Linked DNA regions of Ovis aries. The protein of the gene in region 1 interacts with the protein of each later gene in a pairwise test. Links are inferred from orthologs where the notes say so. Each region holds a gene or a part of one and is shown in the gene's direction. Other genes may lie near its edges.

Region 1 (3,304 bases):
GCCTTATTCTCTCAAAAAGCTCTGTGAGGTCTTTTTACAAGTCTATCAGCTAGTTGGGTTGGGTTTTTTTTTTCCCTATCCACTTACTTTTTTTGTAAATAAAGTTTTGCCTAAAACAATTGTGCTGTCAGGATTTGAAATGTGCAGCTGACATGTTAAGTAAAAATAGAAGCTGTTCTTCTTAATCCACACCAGATTCATCTTTGCTGGCTTCTAAGAGAGGTCTCCTGGAATCTTTGAAGCAACTGGGTTAGCTGAGTCATGGAGCTTGGTCTCAGTAAGGCACACATCTTTGGTACTTATTAACCTTACAGCATTGATGATTTCAGCCAGGAATTGTTCTTAAAGAGACAGAAGCCAAATCGTGGTGTCACTACTTTGTTCTGGATACACTAAAGAGAACAAAAGCACTAGAATAATACCTCTTGTTTCCTTGGAGCTCTGTTCTTGCCAAAGTTAAGACCTAACAGTAACCTATGAGTAGAGCGGGCCCTTAAAGCACTTTGGCCTGGCAATTTGCTCACTCAACTTCCCCTGCAAGCTGTGCCTTCTTACTGGGAAGCTGTGTCTCTGCTGAGGTGCCTGGATAGCCAACTGTTTTCTAAATCAGGCAGTAGTTTATTATTTTGCCTGTTACATTTTTTGTGTGTTTATCTTGTTGTCAGAGTGCAAGTGTTCCTGAATTGTTCTTTCCTTCATCTTTTTAGCTTCAAGAGTACATCTGTCTAAGGACACAAATGTTAAACATGAAGCCTGGAGTAAACATATGGCCAAAAGGGAAATACGTGCTCTGGGAGATTTGATTCCATTTGCTGGACAAGCAAATGGATGTTTAACCGTATAACACTTTGGAGATTCTCATCCGTAATCATTGGCCTATTTTCTGCAGGTTCATATTTCTCTGTAGGTTTATATTTTACTTACAAGTGAGAAGTTTCATTCGTTGTTAGGAATTGAAACCAAATCAAATTTGAAGGTTTATTAATACTGTTTTATCAAGAGACAAAACTAATTTGACCTCTTGATTCATGTCTGACTCTTGTGATCCCATGGCCTGTAGCCTGCCAGGTTCCCCTGTCCATGGGATTCTCCCGGCAAGAATACTGGAGAAGGTTGCCATTTCCTTCTCCAGGGGATTTTCCCAACCCAGAAATTGAACCCAGCTCTCCTGAATTGCAGGCTGTTTCTTTACCATCTGAGCTACTACAAGGGAAGGCCCCATACAATAAAATGTATATTCTCAAAGAATTTTAACTAAGGCGGTTTTTAAAAAGCAGCCTGAGTTCTTTATTCAGCCTTGGTAGCAACCCTTAGATAATCATACTGTTGTTACTCTTTCCATATATTTTGAGTCAAAATTATTTACTGTAAATCATCCTGTTTTTGACATATGGTATTTGTACAGTCAGTACCCATGTTGAGAGCAGTTTCTCCATCAAGTTCTTTTCTAGGAAGGTGAATTTTCCTTATTTATCAAAGTAGCATTTGTGAACAAAACAAAAGGCAGGAACTAAAACTTTTCAGTCTCAGCAAAATACACTTAGATATGCAACATTTATAGGATTTCTGTTAGTCATGTTAAATCTTACATCTGAACCTACTAAACTGATAGAAATTTGGTCTGACTTGAAGTAAGTTCAAAAATGCTTGAATTAAGACTATGACACTACTGTGTATAAAGCAGGTAACTATTGAGAACCTACTGTATAGTTTAGGGAACTCTGTTCAATACTCTATGATAATCTGTATGGTGATAGAATCTTAAAAGAGTGGATTTATGCATTTATATAGCCAACAGGGGCTTTCCTGGTGGCTCAGCAGTAAAGAATCCAGCTGCGGTGCAGGAGACACAGGTTTGATCCCTGGGTCGGGAAGATCCCCCTGGAGAAGGACATGGCAACCCACTCCAGTATTCTTGCCTGGAGAATCCCAAGGACAGGGGAGCCTGGTGGGCTACAGTTCATTGGGTTGGAGCCAGACACGAGTTAGTGACTGAACAACAGCAATAGTGGGCTGACTTTGTGGTTACAACAGAAACTACCCCAGCACTGTAAATCAGCCACTCCCATTAAATAGAAAAAAGAAGGCCTGTCAGTATGAGAACGTGTGGCTGCAAAGTGCAAAACCCACGCAGCTGGAAGCAGAGCAGCAGCAGCATCTTCCCCTGCTCAGCCCAGCGAGTGTCCATGGAGACGGCCGTGTGTACGTTCTGTGTCTGATGCTGTAACTGTGTTTCAGATGGTAAAGGATGACTATGAAGATGATGCCCACGTTTTCCGGAAAGCGGCCAATGACATCACATCCCAGCTGGAGATTAATTTTGGTAACCTCCCTCGTCCCGGGCGTGGAGCCAGAGGTGGCACACGGGGAGGCCGGGGAAGGATCAGAAGGGCAGAAAACTATGGACCCAGAGCAGAAGTGGTGGTAAGTGTGTATATTCTAAATCCTGGATGGTTTTCTGAAGTGAGAGGATGAAGATGCCCTGGGCCTACATAGTTTGATTTTGGAGGATCATCAAGTTCGGCCTGATCTAGATAGAGGACGTTCTTTCTCCTCTGTCTAGTGTGGGCCCCATGTTAGAGTATTTGGAATGGTCATCAGCATGATGGGCATCAGTTGGATACAGACCATTGTGTAGCCCTGGCCTCCCGGGTCTCCAGGGAAGTCTGTCTGCTATGATTGTACACTCAGAGCTGGAGAAAAATTCACGCATGTGCATCAGATGAGGTCCCCAGGCCTGGTATTGAATTAGATCAACTGACAGTTGCTTACTACGGTGTAAGCAACCCTGTGCCCTGAAGCTTTCAGTGTAGACAGAATCATTCCAACAGCTTCAAGGCAACCTTTTCACGTCAAACCATTCTTTGCCACTCTTTAGCTGACACTGCCCTACTTCTGGGACAGACAACCTTGTTCCTTACTCCATGGGGCCTTTCTGCCTGCTGGCCTTCCTCCTACCCCTTTGCCTGTTTACCTAGGCTAGATCCTCTAACCTCCCTTCATCAGAGGAGGCTTCCAGACCAGGTCAGAGTCCTTCCTTTCTTTGAAGCACCATCTGCATTTGTAATTGTACTATCGCTGGTACAATTGTTGGTCAGCATCTGCTGTCTCCAGAAGACAGATTGGTTTCCCCAGTGCCTAGTATAATATAAGCTGTACTAGACGCTTCATCAGTGTTTTATGAACAAATATACCAATACCTGTTTAGTGGGAATTGGGCACAAGGTTCAGCGGCCAGCAGAGGCACCCATGCTGTCCTTGTGAGAATGGAGAAGCCCCTTCTTTGTGGCTGATCTTGGAAATA
Region 2 (2,671 bases), on another chromosome or scaffold:
GCATTGAGGGGTTTTTCCACCCCCTCCCCAGTGTGATTGTTTTCAGCTCTCCTGGTGTGTATGAAGTGGTTTTGATCTGCCTTTCCCAAACTAATGGTTGCTGTGTACTTTGATTTATATGAAGATAATACCTTTTCTCTGGTTTTGATTTCTGCTTTTTTTAAAAAAAACAAATGTTCATCTATAAAGTTTAGCACTTGTTTCCAAACCTGGTTAGTTTAATACCCATGTTTTTAAATAGCATTAGGGTATTGATGGTATTGTACAGCTTTAGTCCTTTCATGGCTAACTTTGGAATAGGTTATACTATGGGTATTTTGAATAATATGAGTGTGTTGTTCAGTCACTAAGTCATGTCCAAGTCTTTGTGGCCTCATGGACTGCAGCACTCCAGGCTCCCCAACCTTCACTCAACTATCTATGAATATATTGGGTATATATATGGATATATTGGGTAATATGAGACTGTTAAAATCAGTTTTAAACGGTCATCTTAGTTTACACTTCCAAATCCTTTTACCAAGTCGTCATACTCAATTTGTGAAGTAAAAACCAAGTTTACTCTTTCAGTTTTGATAAATTGCCTGCATACCACTTGATAAACAGAAAGAGCAGATGTGTTGACCTGGTGACTTGATTAAAGAAAGGTTTTATCATTGCAAGCTTCCACAATGTTCATTCCAGGGGCCCTCCTCGCCAAAGACAGCCCAGAGAGGACGGCAATGAAGAAGATAAGGAAAACCAAGGAGATGAGACCCAAGGTCAGCAGCCACCTCAACGTCGGTACCGCCGCAACTTCAATTACCGACGCAGACGCCCAGAAAACCCTAAACCACAAGATGGCAAAGAGACAAAAGCAGCCGATCCACCAGCTGAGAATTCGTCCGCTCCCGAGGCTGAGCAGGGCGGGGCTGAGTAAATGCCGGCTTACCATCTCTACCATCATCCGGGTAAGTAAGCCTCGATGGCCCTCTGGGCAGTCATGAGTGATGTCCATTAATGAAAGAGAGGAAAACCCAGTTCATCAGGTAAGGTAAGCCACTCAAACTTACAGTGTCTTCTACCCAAACTAATCTTAAGATGACTTGAATGTCATTTTGTTAATGGATTGTATATCAGAGCCATACTTTGGCCTAGCTTTGCATTGTATCTTTTGTATTAGGGCTTTTTTGTCAACTTTCTTGGATGATTTTAATGTAAGCTGGAGAAGGAAATGGCAACCCACTCCAGTATTCTTACCTGGAAAATTCTGTGGACAGAGGAGCTTGGTGGGCTGTAGTCCATGGGGGTTGTTAAGAGTCGGACATGACTGAGAACACACACAAACACCAGTAAGCTGAGGAAAGTCTTGCTGACTACAAGTAATTACGTTATGAGATTCTTCATTTTCAAAAATAAGTGGGATGGCTACTCAGATTAAAAACGTAGGTGATGATGACCAGGATGGTCTGTTTACGTGGTGGCTTTGGCATTACATCATCAATTCTAAAATTAAGAGGATTCCCTTTTTACTTGATTCTAGGAGACATGTATTTGTCTCTGTTTGACTCTAGAATTATCATTTTCAGCCAGTGAGACTTTTTCCCCCTATTTTGAGTGTCAAAAGGTCATTCAGAACCTATGAGTAACCATTCTTATTATATAGTAATGCCCACTCCTGTTATGAACTGCTGTGTAAAGGTAAACCAGTATGAGATGTGTTCCCTGCCTAGCTAATTTGATATACTGAAAGATTGCAGTGAACTATAGAAGGTAATTAGAAAACTTCTTTTTCTCTCTTACAGTTTAGTCATCCAACAAGAAGAAATGAATATGAAATTCCAGCAATAAGAAATGAACAAAAGATTGGAGCTGAAGACCTTAAGTGCTTGCTTTTTGCCTGTTGACCAGATAACTAGAACTATCTGCATTATCTATGCAGCATGGGGTTTTTATTATTTTTACCTAAAGACGTCTCTTTTTGGTAATGACAAACGTGTTTTTTAAAAAAAAAAAAAAAAGCCTGTTTTTTCTCAATACACCTTTAAAGGTTTTTAAATTGTTTCATATCTGGTCAAGTTGAGATTTTTAAGAACCTCATTTTTAATTTGTAATAAAAGTTTACAGCTTGATTTTTTCAAAAAAAAAGTCAACAAACTGCAAGCACCTGTTAATAAAGGTCTTAAATAATTGTCTTTGTTGTATATTTCTGCCTTGCTTTTTTAGTTTACAAGTACTTAGCTGGTTATTAACTTAAATCTCTGCAGATAGGTGATACTTAGTGGTATTTACTCAAGGAAATGCTCTTAAAATGTGTAATCATTTGTTGAGTAGCATACCTGTACTGAAAATTAGAATTTGCTACGATAATCTGGCCATTTTCCATTCAGTGAGTTCCTTTTACTGGGAGGCAGTGGTAAAGAGAGGGCATGTTCTAGTGGAGACTAACAGAACTGTGAGTTACTTCAGCCTGCAGATTGAAGGACACCCACCTTAGTTAGCAGATGTCTGCCGCAGAGACTGCTGTACTCAGTAAACACAGCTCAGCTCCTTTACTTGGGTACTAGAGATGGTAACCACAAATGATGGAATGCTTGTGGGAAGGCTGCTTAAAGAATATAGAGGTCAGTGACATTCATTTTGTCCTCAGCACCCTTGTAACATAAGCGTGTTCCATATTTTATAGTGTCTT
Region 3 (4,115 bases), on another chromosome or scaffold:
TTTCTTTATAGTCCAACTCTCACATCCATACATGACTACTGGAAAAACCATAGCTTTGACTAGATGGACCTTTGTAGGCAAAGCAATGTCTCTGTTTTTTAACATGCTATCTAGATTGGTCATAGTTTTTCTTCCAAGAAGCAAACGTCTTTTAATTTCATGGCTGCAGTCACCATCTGCAGTGATTTTGGAGCCCAAGAAGATAAAGTCTCACTGTTTCCATTGTTTCCCCATCTATTTGCCATGAAGTGATGGGACCAGATGCCATGATCTTTGTTTTCTGAATGTTGAGTTTTAAGGCAAATTTTTCACTCTCCTTTCCACTTTCATCAAGAGGCTCTTTAGTTCTTCACCTTCTGCCATAAGGGTGGTGTCATCTGCATATCTGAGGTTATTGATATTTCTCCTGGCAATCTTGATTCCAGCTTGTGCTTCATCCAGCCCGCATTTCGCACGATGTACTCTGCATAGAAGTTAAATAAGCAGGGTGACAATATACAGCCTTGACTTACTCCTTTCCCAATTTGGAACAAGTCTGTTGTTCCATGTCCAGGTCTAACTGTTGCTTCTTGACCTGCATACAGATTTCTCAGAGACAGGTAAGGTGGTCTGGTATTCCCATCTCTCAGAATTTTCCACAGTTTGTTGTGATCCACATAGTCAAAGGCTTTGGTGTAGTCAATAAAGCAAAAGTAGATGTTTTTCTGGAACTCTCTTGCTTTTTCCATGATCCAGCGGATGTTGGCAATTTGATCTCTGGTTCCTCTGCCTTTTCTAAATCCAGCTTGAACATCTGGAAGTTCATAGTTCACATACTGTTGAAGCCTGGCTTGGAGAATTTTGAGCATTCCTTTGCTAGCGTGTGAGGTGAGTGCAGTTGTGCAGTAGTTTGAACATTCTTTGGGACTGGAATGAAAACAGCTTTTCCAGTCCGGTGGCCACTGCTGAGTTTTCCAAATTTGCTAGCATATTGAGTGCAGCACTTTCATAGCATCATCTTTCAGGATTTGAAATTCCATCCCCTCCACTAGCTTTGTTCGTAGTGATGCTTCCTAAGGCCCACTTGATTTCCCATTTCAGGATTCCTAAACTTCTTTAGTTCCTGAAGATTCCTGTTGCTGCAGAACTAAAGTTTAGGAATCAGATTCCAAGCCTCCCTGGGAGGCTACACCGGAGGCCACCAGCAGAGGGCAGGGTCCTGCCCACTGTGCCTTCTGGTCTGCAAGGCGGCGGCGCGGAAGCACTTCCCGGCTGTGGGGCGGGACTTCCGGCGGCGGTCCCAGATCTAGGGGGCGCAGCGGCAAGGAGTTGTCCTTCTAAGCGAGAGTTGTATTTCGAATCTGCACGTGTTCGCCACCGCCTCCGCTGCCAAAATGTTCCAGCTGCTGCGCTGCGTGCCCCGCGTCCTGGGTTCTGCCGTCGCTGGTCTCCGCGCCGCCGCACCCTCCCTGCCGCTTCTGCAGCCCGCGTCCCGGCCATGCGCCCGGCCCTTCGGGCTGCTGAGCGTGCGCGCGGGGTCGGTTCAGCTGCCCGGCCTCCTGAAGCCTCGGGGGCCCTGCGCTTGCGGCTGCGGCTGTAGCGGACTGCACACCGAAGGTGAGACTCATGCACGTGGGCCGGGGGCGTGAGGGGCGTGGGCCTAGGTGGGGCGGGGTGTTAGGGGCTGGGAGGTGTAGACCACCTGAATGGACAGTCCGGAGCCGCTCCTGAGGTCCGGAACATTCTCCCAGTGATGGTCGACCTGCTAGTTAAACCCACGCGTAGTAACATTTCCCGTCCTCCCCCACCCCTGTTTGACTGCGGGGATAGATACTGTAAAGTCCTGGAGGCCGGCTTTACCTCAGTCTCTCGAAAATGGAACTTTGCGAAAGCCCAAGGTCGCGGTTAGAAGTAGCGTGATGTTTCTTGGCAAGTGAAAGGGTAGTGGCGATTTTTTTTTTTTTTTTTTTTGCTTTATTTTGAAACGTCGTGAGAAGTTCATTATTCGGGATCACTTTCCTAGAATCCATGCTCAGCTTCCCACTGATAGCTTACATTTTTACAGATGAAGGAATTGAGGTTTAATGGATATGAGTTGGGCTAAGTCCACAGAGCCACCATTAATAGAAGTATTAGGAAAAAACAGGCTAAGTCCTGGTCTTTGCTTGTAGTAACGGGGTCATTTTCCATTTTAGACTAATTGGCTCTTTCTGTAACTTATTTCCATTGTAGGAGACAAAGCTTTCGTTGACTTCCTCAGCGATGAGATCAAGGAGGAAAAGAAGATACAGAAATATAAGTCTCTCCCCAAAATGTCAGGAGGTTGGGAATTGGAAGTGAATGGGACGGAAGCCAAATTAGTGCGGAAAGTTGCTGGAGAAAAGTAAGTACCAGGGGCCTATGGAGCCCAGGGGACCACATCCATAAACCTGCAGGACCTGCTGTGAGGTATCCACAACAACTTTTAGTTAAGACAGGTGCTTAACTGACTCCTGGTTTCCCAGAGATGGTATGATTCGTTTGGATAACTTCTTAGGCTCCTTTTTGCTTATTCACTGCACAGTAATGTGCTGTGGTGGTTAACAAGGAGACAGTAAGCTAGTAGCGGGGTTCCCCAGTGGCTTGGCGTCCAGAACCCACCTGCCAAAGGAGGAGGTGTGAGTCTGAAATGGCAACCCACTCCAGTATTCTTGACTGGAAAATCCAATGGACAGAGGAGCCTGGCAGGGAGTCCATGGGGTTGCAGAGTCAGACACGACTGAGTGCCTGAACATCACCCCAGTAGCACTGAAGCCAAGCCACTGGGAGTCTTCTGGACCAGTAGAGGCAGCAGTCACTGAGCCCTTCCTGGTGAGTGAGGCTGTGCCTTGCCCACAACTAGGCATGCAAATTCAGAGATTCCGGCACTGCCCACAGAATCGGATTTACTCTGCTGGGTCTACTACCCTCAGGCTCTGGCTGAGGAAAATAAAGCCCCTGTTCTGTTTACAGTTGAGAAAGCAAGATAATTAACAGGGTGGGGTTGCAGTATAGTTTTTCATTAGAAAAGAGGGATGCTTTTGGCCTGCTTAAGCTGTTTTAAATCCACGGTCCACTTTGAAGTTTTGCATGCGCTGTGAAGCAGCAGGCTGGTGCTTTTGCCTAGTATTGTAGTGCTTTCCCCGTCATAGATCAATTGTGTGGTCTGTAACGTGACCCAAACCACTCTCCTAGGCGAAGTTATAGGCAGTTTGGGACCATTATAATGTGCTGCTGAACATAGCTGCATTTCTCTGTCCAGGGGTCAGTTTGGTCCACACTGTCACAGCTTAGACAGATTTTGTGCCTGTACATCAAACTTCTGTCTGTCAAGGTGCCAGTTACCATGGCTTCAGAGGGCAGCGTTGTCTGCAACCTAGCAGTGCTCGTTCCAAGTGTCACTCAATTTTCAGTTCAAATTTTGGAATATGATATGTCAGGTGAAGATTCTTGCAAGTTAAAATTGTCATTAGGTGGTGTTTGTGGCCTGCCTTGTCATTTATTAAACTTCCTACATCTGCTCTGAAGAATAAAACTGTCCAGCAGCATATTCTTTTTTTTTTTTTGCCACACTGCTTGTGGGAATCTTAGTTCCCTGACCGGGGATCAAACCCAGGCCATGGCAGTGAACACACCAAGTCCTAACCCCTGGCCCACCAGAGAACTCCTCTATGTGGTGTCCTTTGTGAGGCCTCCCCTTCCTGGGGCCAGGGCTACTCTCCATCCTCAGCTGATGCCACAACCCTCCGGTGCTCCTTCTCTTCCTCTCAGGCAGATTTTCTTCTAATGGAGGAAGATTTTTAAAGGAGGCTCCTGGGACTTAGTGGTGGTCCAGTGGTTAAACCTCTCCTCTCCCAGTGCAGGGGACCTGGGTTCAATCCCCGATCAGGGAACTAAAATACCACACATAGCAACAAAGGTCACATGCACCTCGCAACCAAGACCCAGCCCAGCCAAGTACATTTTATTTTCTTAAAGGAGGCTTTTGGAACTTTGTGGTGGTCAAAGTGTCTGCTCCCAGCGCAGAGGACCTGGGTTCAATCCCTGGTCAGGGAACTAAGATCTCGCATGTAGCAACTGAGCGATCCCATACATAACAATGGTCATGCGTACCTCGC
Region 4 (4,143 bases), on another chromosome or scaffold:
CCTTCTTCACACATCTGAGTAGCCATAGCCCGTAGAAGCTTTGCCACTGTCCCACACTGTTCCTTCCCAAAGGCAGGCCTTCTAGCAGCCTGCAAGGCCCTCTGTCAACTGCCACCCCCACCCCCATTGCATTGGTTTGGTCCCCAGGGCCTTCAACGCTCCAGCTCTGAACTTTGGCACTGATTCTTTCCTCGGATTGGAACATCCACCCATAAATCCCGAAAGATCTCTCCTATATCTTTCTTTGCTAAAAATCTCCCCCTTGAGCTCTTTTCCCCCATCTCATTGGATGTAAACTCAAAAAACAAAGAAACAGGTCCCTTTTAACCTGTTCACAGCTATGTTCCCAAGACCTAAAATTGCGTCTGGTAACCAAGAGGTGCTCACTAAGTTCTGTGCATTTGCTTTGCCAGGGGTCTCTCTGGGTGTTTTACCTATCTAATATACTCTCCACACCGTGTGAGGTAGGTACTATTATTCCCAATCTCATTTCATGAGAAAATAATACACGTGACAAACAGAAAAGAAATACTTGGGCACGTCTAGACACCCAGACCCAAGGACCTTTTTATGAGGTGGTTTTGCCCGAGCCAACCTTCCTCTTGAAGCCTTTCAGTTTCTGCGAGAGCTCTCCACGCTCCTGCTTAGGCGGGAGCGGGGTTTATTGTCCAGCAGCCCACAGACTAACTTATCCTTCATTCCCGGTTTTCCTCTCTGTAACCCATTCCTGCCTTAGTCCTGGGTGGACTGTCTTTCTTCACCCAACACCATTAGTGAATAAACCTCTTGAGGGAAGAGTCGCCGCCCGCGCATGGAATTTGTTAGGGTTTAACAGTTCACCTGAACGCAGCTTACTTTGAAATTTTAATATAGTATTATTCACATCGCCCACCGTTACTCACAATTGTGCCCATGAAATTAAGCTCCCTCTGCGATGCCCTCCGAGCCACCAAGCGGAAAGGGAGGGGTTCAGACTGTGCCACGTAAGGCCAGTGAAGCCACTAGGCTCCCCTTACTAAGCTCTGGGGCGTGTACTTCCTCTCTGACGCTTTTGAGACATCATTCCCCTACCATAAGGAGCCTTTTTAAATACTCAGTCATGTTGGTTTAATAAGGGAATTTGTACGGTGCTACCAAATTACGTTGTACGACGGTCTGGACCAGAAGTCTTCTTTTATCTCTCCCTTTGAACTACATGGCGCTGCCACCTTGAGCAGAAGTGAATTATGGGAGGGCGCCATTTCGTTCGAGAGGGCGGGTATTTCCGGATCCGGCGTGGGCGGTTCTCTCTTTTCCTCTGCAGGGCCGCGGTGGAAGCGGTTGTGCGGGTCGCCTCTCTGAGTTATCCAGTTCCATCCTTGTCGCTCCGGCGACACCCGCACTCTCCGTCGCCATGACTGAACAGATGACCCTTCGTGGCACCCTCAAGGGCCACAACGGCTGGGTGACCCAGATCGCTACCACTCCCCAGTTCCCGGACATGATATTGTCCGCCTCTCGAGGTACGGGCTGAGGTGCTGGATTAAGGGGCAGGGGTCGTTGCGCGCGTCACATGGTTGGGCCGGTGGGCTGTGAGTTGACCTGTGCCTAGGCCTCATCGCGGATGAACCGGTGATGCGTCCCCGACTTGGCGAGCCCCGAAACAGCTGGCTGCCGGGAGGGTTGCAAGGCTGGGGCCTTTCTAATCGCTACCTCTCAAACCCGTGTATGTATCTGTGGGCCCAGGAGCCTTCGGGTCGGGCGGCGCCGTGATGATCCCAACATGCCATCTGAGTGCCTATGCTGAAACCCAGAGGCTGTTTCTGAGCTGCTGCCCGGACCCTCTGCTCATTAAAAAGTGGACTCCAAGGCGGACCTCGTGTCTAGTCTCTCGGCTATTTCGGGGCAGCCCTTTCTTCCCCCTTTTTTTTTCCTTCTCATTCTCTCTGTACCTGACTGCATTTGGAGACTTCTTGGCGATTGCTTTTGCGTTCACGCTATTTAAAAATAGTTCATCTGAGGCTACAATCATGTATGGCACTTACTAGGAAAGTTTATTCAGTGGAACACATTGCAGTGAAAGCATCCAGTCCTTAGCGCCTAAAGTGGATTTTCTATTGCTAGTATTTCTTGCATCCTTTAGCAGTAGTTTCAGGAGGCCCACAGCTACTCTTCCATATCCAGCCTGCTGTGTGCATGCATTCTGGAAGTGAAGTCACTCAGTCGTCTCCGACTTTTTGCAGCCCCATGGACTGTAGCCTACCAGGCTCCTCAGTTCTTGGGATTTTCCCAAGCAAGGGTACTGTAGTGGGTTGCCATTTCCTTCTCCAGGAGATCTTCCCTACCCAGGGATTCAACCCAGGTCTCCTGCATTGCAGGCAAATGCTTTACCATCTGAGCTACTAGGGAAGCCCAATAAATAGATGTGGAATCGTTTTAGATTTTCGAAAGGGGCATCCATAACCTGGTAAAGTTTCACACACCTGAGTTAAATTCTCAGGGTGCAACTTAGCTCTGCTTGACTCTTGACTAAAGTTACTTGGACTTGGCTAATAACTACTCTCAGCCTTTAGGTAGTTTCCCTACCCCTAAATGCCCTTGGTTTATGATCCAGAAGGTCAGATGGTGAGCCGTGGGGTTTTTTCACTGGGTCTTTTTTTTTGTTTGTTTTGTTTTAACCTGCCCTTAGATAAGACCATCATTATGTGGAAGCTGACCAGAGATGAGACCAACTATGGTATCCCACAGCGTGCTCTTCGGGGTCACTCCCACTTTGTTAGTGATGTGGTCATTTCCTCAGATGGCCAGTTTGCCCTCTCAGGCTCCTGGGATGGAACCCTTCGCCTTTGGGATCTCACAACGCAAGTAGCTGCTCTGGGGCACTGGGGGAAAGCTGGGTAGAAAGCAGGTAGATACCATCAGGTTTCCCAGGGTAGTGATTGGGTACTTGAGTGGGAACTGTAAGGCACAGTACCTGGAGAAGATATTTGTGGTGGTTCGGCCTCCCTCCCCGTTGCTTTTAATTAGATACACAGAATTGCTGAAGAGTGGTCTGTTTTAGCAGTTTTATCAGATACTGCACTTGGGACTAGACAACATGTTTGAACATACTGTATATTGGGAGCTCAGTCTTGGGTGGTCAGGCATAATGGAGGATCCTGGTGATGACAGATGACATTGTCAGCCAATCCCCACATGGGAGTGAGGACATGTCCTGCAATTCTGAAGGGATTCTCTGGCATATTCTCGGCCAAGGGCCTGCCGTTTATCAAAGCCATGTCCAGGGTGGTGTGGGTAACGCAGCTCCATTGGGTGAGGAATTGGGCCAGGGAAACAGCCTGACTGGAAGAATGTTTGCAGTCTTTCTAGAGAGTAACCAAGTCCTCCTTCTCAGGGGCACCACCACTCGCCGATTTGTAGGCCATACCAAAGATGTGCTGAGTGTGGCCTTCTCTTCTGACAACCGGCAAATTGTCTCTGGCTCCCGAGACAAAACCATCAAACTATGGAATACTCTGGGTGTATGCAAATATACTGTCCAGGTAAAGTAAAGGCACATGCAGGGAGCATATGTTGAACATTTCCCCCATCCTTCTTAACTGGTGCTTTTATATGGTGATTTTAAGCCTCGTCTGGAACCTAAAGGGATTCTATCTTATCTTAAAGGTTTGGGTTCTGGAAGTGTGAATACAGGTTGTCAACATACTGAATATATATCCCACATAACTGAGCGGGGAGGGTGGGGTCTCGAGTTTCATAAGACGAGACAGTTTCTCCTTATTTCCTTTCCATCCTCTGCAGGATGAAAGCCATTCAGAGTGGGTGTCTTGTGTCCGCTTCTCGCCCAACAGCAGCAATCCCATTATTGTTTCCTGTGGCTGGGACAAGCTGGTCAAGGTGAGCTTGGAGCCAGGGCGTGAGGCCTTTACCAACCAGAATGTGTTCCCACTACCTCCCAGTTGGTCATAATCAACTTTGAATCAGCTTTGTCCCTTAACTGACCGTAAGTGGCCAAGATTAATAATTCTTGGACTTTTTTGTCACTGATAGAATGGAAATTGGCTCTCCTATCCAGGGATGCCTTTTAAGCATGGTGCCATGCCTTTTTTTGACCTTGATAGATCCAGAGCCCAGGTTCTTCACCTTTGACCCACAATTTTAGGT

Evidence for each region.
Region 2: the proteins of HABP4 (region 1) and YBX1 interact in a two-hybrid assay, tested with the Homo sapiens proteins (2 studies listed by BioGRID and IntAct). The link is inferred for Ovis aries from reciprocal best matches to the Homo sapiens genes HABP4 and YBX1.
Region 3: the proteins of HABP4 (region 1) and C1QBP interact in a two-hybrid assay, tested with the Homo sapiens proteins (2 studies listed by BioGRID and IntAct). The link is inferred for Ovis aries from reciprocal best matches to the Homo sapiens genes HABP4 and C1QBP.
Region 4: the proteins of HABP4 (region 1) and RACK1 interact in a two-hybrid assay, tested with the Homo sapiens proteins (2 studies listed by BioGRID). The link is inferred for Ovis aries from reciprocal best matches to the Homo sapiens genes HABP4 and RACK1.

Annotation. Positions count from the first base shown.
Region 1 is NC_056055.1:29,687,029-29,690,332, reverse strand, and holds part of HABP4 (intracellular hyaluronan-binding protein 4), read left to right. Parts: intron 1-2,238; coding exon 2,239-2,424; intron 2,425-3,304. UniProt on the Homo sapiens protein: Ribosome-binding protein that promotes ribosome hibernation, a process during which ribosomes are stabilized in an inactive state and preserved from proteasomal degradation.
Region 2 is NC_056054.1:17,201,242-17,203,912, forward strand, and holds the end of YBX1 (Y-box-binding protein 1), read left to right. Parts: intron 1-684; coding exon 685-919; 3' UTR 920-950; intron 951-1,784; 3' UTR 1,785-2,170; downstream 2,171-2,671. UniProt on the Homo sapiens protein: DNA- and RNA-binding protein involved in various processes, such as translational repression, RNA stabilization, mRNA splicing, DNA repair and transcription regulation.
Region 3 is NC_056064.1:25,998,123-26,002,237, forward strand, and holds the start of C1QBP (complement component 1 Q subcomponent-binding protein, mitochondrial), read left to right. Parts: upstream 1-1,272; 5' UTR 1,273-1,373; coding exon 1,374-1,596; intron 1,597-2,211; coding exon 2,212-2,362; intron 2,363-4,115.
Region 4 is NC_056058.1:38,114,246-38,118,388, reverse strand, and holds the start of RACK1 (small ribosomal subunit protein RACK1), read left to right. Parts: upstream 1-1,327; 5' UTR 1,328-1,393; coding exon 1,394-1,502; intron 1,503-1,742; exon of another isoform or gene 1,743-1,810; intron 1,811-2,668; coding exon 2,669-2,840; intron 2,841-3,133; exon of another isoform or gene 3,134-3,212; intron 3,213-3,373; coding exon 3,374-3,521; intron 3,522-3,780; coding exon 3,781-3,876; intron 3,877-4,141; coding exon 4,142-4,143. UniProt on the Homo sapiens protein: Scaffolding protein involved in the recruitment, assembly and/or regulation of a variety of signaling molecules. Interacts with a wide variety of proteins and plays a role in many cellular processes.